Linked DNA regions of Danio rerio. Each later gene encodes a partner of the first gene's protein in a complex. Links are inferred from orthologs where the notes say so. Each region holds a gene or a part of one and is shown in the gene's direction. Other genes may lie near its edges.

The links.
Region 2: hbs1l (region 1) and pelo share a complex: the UniProt entries of both Homo sapiens proteins name them as parts of the pelota-HBS1L complex. The link is inferred for Danio rerio from reciprocal best matches to the Homo sapiens genes HBS1L and PELO.

What each region holds. Positions count from the first base shown.
Region 1 is NC_133198.1:34,725,273-34,729,104, reverse strand, and holds part of hbs1l (HBS1-like protein), read left to right. Parts: intron 1-1,244; coding exon 1,245-1,471; intron 1,472-3,164; coding exon 3,165-3,330; intron 3,331-3,426; coding exon 3,427-3,544; intron 3,545-3,832. UniProt on the Homo sapiens protein: GTPase component of the Pelota-HBS1L complex, a complex that recognizes stalled ribosomes and triggers the No-Go Decay (NGD) pathway.
Region 2 is NC_133187.1:13,771,347-13,775,178, reverse strand, and holds part of pelo (protein pelota homolog), read left to right. Parts: intron 1-881; coding exon 882-974; intron 975-1,090; coding exon 1,091-1,241; intron 1,242-2,095; coding exon 2,096-2,186; intron 2,187-2,940; coding exon 2,941-3,104; intron 3,105-3,832. UniProt on the Homo sapiens protein: Component of the Pelota-HBS1L complex, a complex that recognizes stalled ribosomes and triggers the No-Go Decay (NGD) pathway.

The sequences.
Region 1 (3,832 bases):
TGGAAGTAGCCATCAGAAGATGTGTACCTAATAAAGTAGCCAGTGAGTGTATATTTTAGATTTAATTTATATTAGTAATTGGATAAGTTGACAAATAAGTTAATTACATGGTTTCATTGTTTCTTGTAGTACAATTGAGATTAGTTTCATTTGTTAACATGCTTTTTTGAAGTATTTGCAGACCAAAATATTCTGTCTGAACTGTTTAAAGTGACCGTTCACTCAAAAATTGACTCAATTTTTATTTACTCACCTAAACCAGTGTGGTTGTTTTTCTTTGTAAAATGTTGGTGATCAAACAGTTCTCTATATTCATCAGCTTCCATAGTTACCATCAACTACTTGCTTGCCACTCATATATGTACAAAGTGGAGGGTGAGCAAAAGATGATGCTGTTTTCATTTTGGGTGAACTCTTCCTTTAATTTATAGCTCTTTCAGTTACAATCATTAATGGTGCTGAATTCAATCCAGTCCAACTCTTATCTACCTGCATTGCATTCTGGGACAGCAGTAAACCACAGAGATGGCTGGTGCATGTAGATTAATCTCAAACTCGCAAACACAAAGCCACAGCCTATCACTCCCACTCCTCCAGACACAGACCACACCCGATGAACTCAGAAAGAAGGGTGTAGGGGCTTCTGCAGGTGGAGCAGCCACTGTACTTCCATTTAATAGGTTAAACTATCAGAGGACTCACAACAATAAGTTTACACACAATCAAATGAAATTAGAAGGTAAAAGGTGGCATTTTTTGTTTTAAAATAATAATTTTAATGCCCTAAAAATTGTTCAATCTACAAAATCGCACAATGACTTATATTTGAGGTCAGGAAGATTTTTGTTGTGTAGTTTGGAAGAAGCTTGTACGTATATTGATATGTGATTCATTAATTTGACCAAAAGCTGCAATGAAGATGTTTATATTGTCACACATGGATTATTTATTTATCTATTTATTAATTTATATTTATATTATATGCTTTTGGTTAGCATAAATTACTTCTATAGTTTAATTTTATTTGTGCGTTTAATCTTATCAACCCATTTGAACTGTAGGTTACCTATTTACAACAACATAGATTGGGAAGGTTTAACCCTTTTCCATAACACGGTATGATATATGAAATTAATGATCTATTATAGCCTTCTTGGATTTACTGTGGCATGTTTTTAATTTGCTTTAAGAAAAAGAATAAGGCTGTGTTAGAAATTATAATATGCTTTTGTCCGTTTTTATAGTGCAGAGGAAAATGGCGGAGTGGCTCCTTCGCTTCGCAGAGGGCCGAGTCCAGAGGCCACTGCTGTACCAACCACAGAAACCCCATCCAAACAGTCGACTGTGACTGAAGATTCTGCTGCTCCGACCCCAACTCGACCATCCGGAAAAAGCAAACAGCAGCTCAACATCCGTGCTGAACTGGAGAAGAGACAAGGAGGAAAACCATTACTCAACCTGGTGGTCATAGGTATGCTATCATATCAGCATTTTTTTTTATTCACTCATTTGGTGTACTCATTTTGCATGTTTGTAATTGCTAAACACATTGACATTTCTAGAGACAGTGACACTTCTAGTACCATAAAGCTGTTTGCTTTTACACAGTCTATTGAAAAGTGCTATTTAAATAAAGTTGACCTGACTGGAGTGTTGCAGAGCTTGTGCAAACATTTATATATCTGCAATCAAATGATGTTTCTTTACTGCTTTGTTAGCCTTAAGCTATACTTAAAGGTGCCATATAATGAAAATCTGGATAGGCATAGCTGAATAGAAAGAGTTCAGTACATGGAAATGTCATTCTGTCAACCTCAAACATCATTGATTTTTCGTTTCATGTACATCTTGGGAAAAAATACATTGAAAACAGGCTTATCAAAACAAAATACAGTATCATTAAAATGTGCGCCTCATACTGTGTTTGATTGGCTACTGACAATGTATCTTATGACTCTTATTTTAAAAACGGACCAGTCGTTAAGCCATTTATTAAGACAGTAAAGGAGCCATTCTTGGAAGCAAGCAGACAAGCTTGACCTATAGAGCATTGGGTCTGTTCACAGCATGTCAGAATGCAAAATGCGGGATATATAGATTGTAAACGTATTCAGTACCACCCCGAAGAGACAAAAGGTCTGTTTAACTATGGCATTTGTCAGATTAACCTGTATGTTGTGAAATTTGCTGCTTATGTTTGTAATGAAGCGACAAACACATGCAAACTGCTAAATGTTAGTGTTGAATGCATGCTTATGCATTGTGTTATGCCACTCAGTTCTTACTGTGTGTTTTCTTAAATGAAAGGACATCAGTACACTTTATTAAACGTCATCTGTTTATGCCAGAGGTGTCCAAACTCGGTCCTGGAGGGCCGATATCCTGCAGATTTTAGCTCCAACTTGCCTCAACACACCTGCAAGGATGTCTCTAAAAAGCCTAGTAAGTGCTTGATTAGCTAGCTCAGGTGCGTCTGATCGGGGTTGGAACTAAACTGCAGGACACCGGCCCTCCAGGGCCGAGTTTGTACATGCCTGGTTTATGGAGTGGTTAATAATAAATCTTATCTGTGTTTTCATATACATTAAGGCTTCAAAATGTAACCAATTACATCTCTGTCAGGCCTTTTAGTCAGATATAATTGTAAGTTAGCCAATATTTCATACACAACTCTATTAGGTTTCTCTAGTGGCAAATATATAGGTTTATTTTAGCTAGAAGGAGTGAGTGACCTATCTACTACTACTATTTAAACTATTTTAAAAGCCATCTACGCAATTAAAATTATGTGATAACAAATCAAGTATTATTATTTTAAATGTTATTTTTCAGAGTACATCCCATTGTGTGTTTTTGTGTGTTTGAGCAAGAGACGGAGATAAACACTATCAGAACAGAGCTAATTAATATTAATGATCATTCCAAATATGGTCAAAACTGAGCTTTTCATTCTAGTTGTAATTCCTATGGTTATAAAAGATTATATACAACTGTTTCTGGAGAATTTAGTTAATTTACCCAAGCCACATACCTACTATGTAGATTTCAGAGAACAGTTTAACATTTTGATTCAATGCACCCTTGAAGTATGTTTGAATGTCACTTCATTGGTTATCAAAACTGTATATACAATGAATGAAAATGTGGGCTTTGTGTGTTTGTAGGACATGTAGATGCTGGCAAGAGCACTCTCATGGGTCATCTGTTATATCTGCTGGGGAACGTTAACAAGAGAACCATGCATAAGTATGAACAGGAGGCCAAAAAAGCTGGCAAAGCCTCATTCGCCTATGCATGGGTACTGGATGAGACAGGAGAGGAAAGGGACAGGTTGGTTGATTACAAACACATTCAGATGCCAATCAATGTGTGTAAAAGCAATCTATAATAGCATGCGTTACTGAACATCATCGTTATCTTTTACAGAGGAGTGACCATGGATGTGGGCATGACTAAGTTTGAGACTGACTCAAAGGTTGTTACTCTGATGGACGCACCAGGACACAAAGACTTCATCCCGAACATGATCACAGGGGCAGCACAGGTACTTTCACGTAAAGTTTCTCACCTTCAGGTTATCTCAAGTCTTATTTTTTCCTGGTCATTACCATTTAAAATGCATTCTTGGACTAATATTTAGCATAATTCACTTGTGATTGGATTGGCAAAAACGCATCTTATCTCTTGTGTGCTGTTAGGATGTTTTCATCCACTCTGGGGTCATTTTAAGGCTTAGTTTGGCCACAACTTTCTCTGTTTTAGCAAATGGAAAGATTTTTGGTGAAAAATCTAATTTTGACCATAGACTGTAAAAGATATGATGTTGTATCCG
Region 2 (3,832 bases), on another chromosome or scaffold:
TTGAAGATGATCATCATTAAGTCTAGACCTGTACTTTGACTTATTGAAGTCCTAGGGAAAAAAGTGGGGGAACTCACTCAAAACTTCCATTCCCTCACCTAAAAAAAAGGCGTATATATGTATAAATAAAACACCCCCACCCCACTCCAGTCACATCAGTCTGTACCAGTCTGTATCTACCTATAATATCAATATATATAAGATGCAGGGCAGGCACGTGCACACATAGGGCTCAACCTGTGCAGAGCACATGCCCTTTTTAGTCTTGCATAGAAAGTGCCCATCCAAAATGATCAAAAGTGCCTCTGCGACGCGACACACATAGTCCCGCCCTTCAGTAGGGGCGCGATAACACCGCTCTTGAGTACGCGCGCGACAACACAGCTGATCAGAACGCGCGCGACAACGCGCATTGAGTGACAAGCGCGCTGTGTACGGATAGAATCAGCGGAGCGGGGAGCGCTCTCTCTCCCCGCTCCGCTGATTCTGTCAGAGTACAGCGGTCGGCGCGGGACACAAAATATTGCACTGAGGGCCGCAAATGGCCCGCGGGCCGCGAGTTTGAGACTCCTGTTTTAAACGATATTGGCGAAAATGGGCTAATGATAACTGTTTGTTTCAGAGTTTGTTTCTTTTATTAAACTACAATAGTCTGTTAAATTAGAATAAATAGTTATTATACAATTCTTTAAGCATCTATAGTACTAATATATGTATATAGAGTATAATACACAAATATACATTTATAATACCATTCAGATTAGACTTAATTAGTTTTCGTTTAAGTTGCAAAACCGGTGTTCAAGATTTCAGTATTTCCCTTTTCAGTCAGTCCAAGGCTCCTAGTTGTAATTTCTTCTATTTTTATGTTTTTTTTTTAGTCAGGTGACACTAATACCTGACGAAGCAGAGGATATGTGGCACACCTACAACCTACTGCAGGTGGGCGACAGCCTCAGAGCTTCAACCATCAGGTGGGTCTTAATTGTATCACACTGTATTTTATTTATTTTTTTGGTTTGGTTTAGCACATTTAGTATCAGAGATTTCACTTGTTTACTTAATAAAAATATTTCGATGTCACAAACAGGAAAGTGCAGACAGAGTCTTCCACGGGCAGTGTGGGCAGTTCACGTGTGCGCACCACATTGACTCTTTGTGTGGAAACCATAGACTTTGATTCCCAAGCCTGCCAGCTCAGAGTCAAAGGAACAAACATCCAGGAGAACCAATATGTGAAGGTCAGTATGCATTTAGATTTGTTTTCGTGACTTTGTAATTAACTTTAGCTCTCCCAGCATTTGATTGCAGTCCTGACCAATCATACAGTCAATATTGTGCTCCACTCTTTGTCCTACCTAAAAAAAAAACACCATATACATACATAAATATACATTTTTTTACATGAACCTGAAAATTGCAAACAAATTAGGTAATGTATAGTCTATTCTTATCCAAAAATTGTTTTCAAAATTGATCATGGGGACTTGGATTACCGAAATGTCACCATTTGCTTTCTATATTTAGCAATACCGCAATCTTTTGTTGTAATTGTAGGTATAGCACAAATAAAAGATTACAGTTTTGAATTATGTTTATACAGTCTTGCTCGTGTTTATATGATCTAAAATGACAGTTCGTTCGGTTATGTTCTTTTTGTTCTTATCTCCAAATGCAAGTGTAGGCTTCAATCATACTTATGCCTTGTTTTATTTAAGTTTGGATGTCGTTTTTTTAGTCATTTAAGTTTTAAATTACACTTACAACTTAAATATATGATTTAATAATAATATTATTATTTAAAATTAAGTTTTATATGCATATTGCAGACATTTTTGTCTAATTTCGTCTGAAATGATTGTCATTTTTCCAGAAATTATTTATTATTTTTTTTCTATGGGACTGCACAAATTAATTGTCAGTGACATGGCTGGTAGTAAAAACTTGTTGAACTTGGCAAAAAAAAAAATGTTTTAAATAACTGAGAAAATATATTTATAGCTAATATTCACCCTCACTTATCTTATGTTGTCATAGTAGAAATGTGAACGTTGCTTTAAAATGAGACATGTTGCTTCTATTGTGTCATATGTAGATGGGTGCCTATCATACCATAGAGCTGGAGCTCAACAGGAAGTTTACCCTCGCCAAAAAAGTCTGGGACAGCGTGGTGTTGGACAGAATTGGTAATGTGTTGGTGTGTTTTTGCTGCATTTTCTGACTGAATTAAACTAGTTTTGCTTGTACAAATTTTGCGTACTTTGTGAAAATGTCAATAAATAAAAAGTAAAATTATTTTGTTTAAAAAAATAATGATATAATATTTAGTGGCTCAAATAATTAGTTTATTTTACTTCTGGTAAACAAAGAGTGTTTTGTGAAGTCGTTCAGCTTTCTTTTGGGCACATAAAAATGCAGAGCAATCAGATCTATCAAGCTTTAAAAACAATTTGTCCTCGCTCTTTACATTTACTTAAAGCATAGGTCTCAAACTCGATTCCTGAAGGGCCGCAGCTCTGCACAGTTTTGCTTCAACCCTAATCAAACACAGCTGATCCAACAAATCAAGCTGTTCAAGACTAGCAGAGTAGACACTACTAGATCAGCTGTGTTTGATTAGGGTTGGAGAAAACTGTGCAGAGCTGCGGCCCTCCAGGAATTGAGATTGAGACCTATGACCTAAAGGCAAAGTTCATCCAAAAACTTTTGATTTACTCATTATTTACTGTAGTTCCAAATGCTTGTGTGTTGCTCTGCTGACTCTAATGCCAAAACATCATACTGCCTGTATTATACGCGCACCTTGGAAACATTGGTGAACAAAGTCATTCGAGTTTTTTTGGGGGGTGAACAAAGCCTTAAATTTTTTTTTTACGTGAAATACATTAAATTGACGCAATGCCTTAATAATTTCTAAACTTGCCTTTATTAAATCAACAGAGCAGGCATGTGATCCTGCTCAGAAAGCAGATGTGGCCGCTGTCGTGATGCAGGAAGGTCTGGCCAATCTGGTTCTTGTGACTCCAGCCATGACCTTACTAAGGGCGAAGGTTGAGGTCACCATCCCTCGCAAGAGGAAAGGCAGTTGCACTCAACATGACAAGGTGAACCAAACTTCTTTTTCTGTGTCATAAATAGTTTTTATGTATTCCATAATTTTTTTTACAGGCAGGGCTGCACAATTAATCAAAAAAAGGTTGCGATCTCGATCCTACACACAATCTCAATTCAGCTTTTCTACCAGTTATATTTTCATGGTGAGGAGAGAAGCTTAAAGGCGGTTGCACAAATCTTCATATTGTTTTACATACTTTACTCAGCAACATGGACACCTCCAAATGGCATAAATGTGTCACACACTGCATCTACAAGGTATAATTCACCCAAAAATGTTGTTACTGTCATAATGCAATGACGTATTTGCGGCTAAGAAATGACCCCTAATCTGACGAATCTGATGTTTACTACTGATAGGACACTAGCCCGCCAATGATGTTAACTTTAGTGAACAAAACCTGCATAGAGTGTGAATAACAGGTAATAAAGTTGTAAACAGCGTTCAGTTTGTTGCACAGAGTGGTCATTTGGGAGCTGCGGAGAAGGTATGATTAGATTGTATGTTTTTTTTTTTTTTTGAATATTATAATCCAACTTTAGAATTATGAATGGTTGTATTCTGATGTCATCACACTGTGCATTAATGACCAGGACATATTTATGTCTGTTTAAGTCCACCATTCCAAGTCTATACCGAATTAAGCATTTTAACCAACATTAGACCTACACATAGGCCTTATATTGTTGTTTTACCATATGTTTCACAAATAACAAA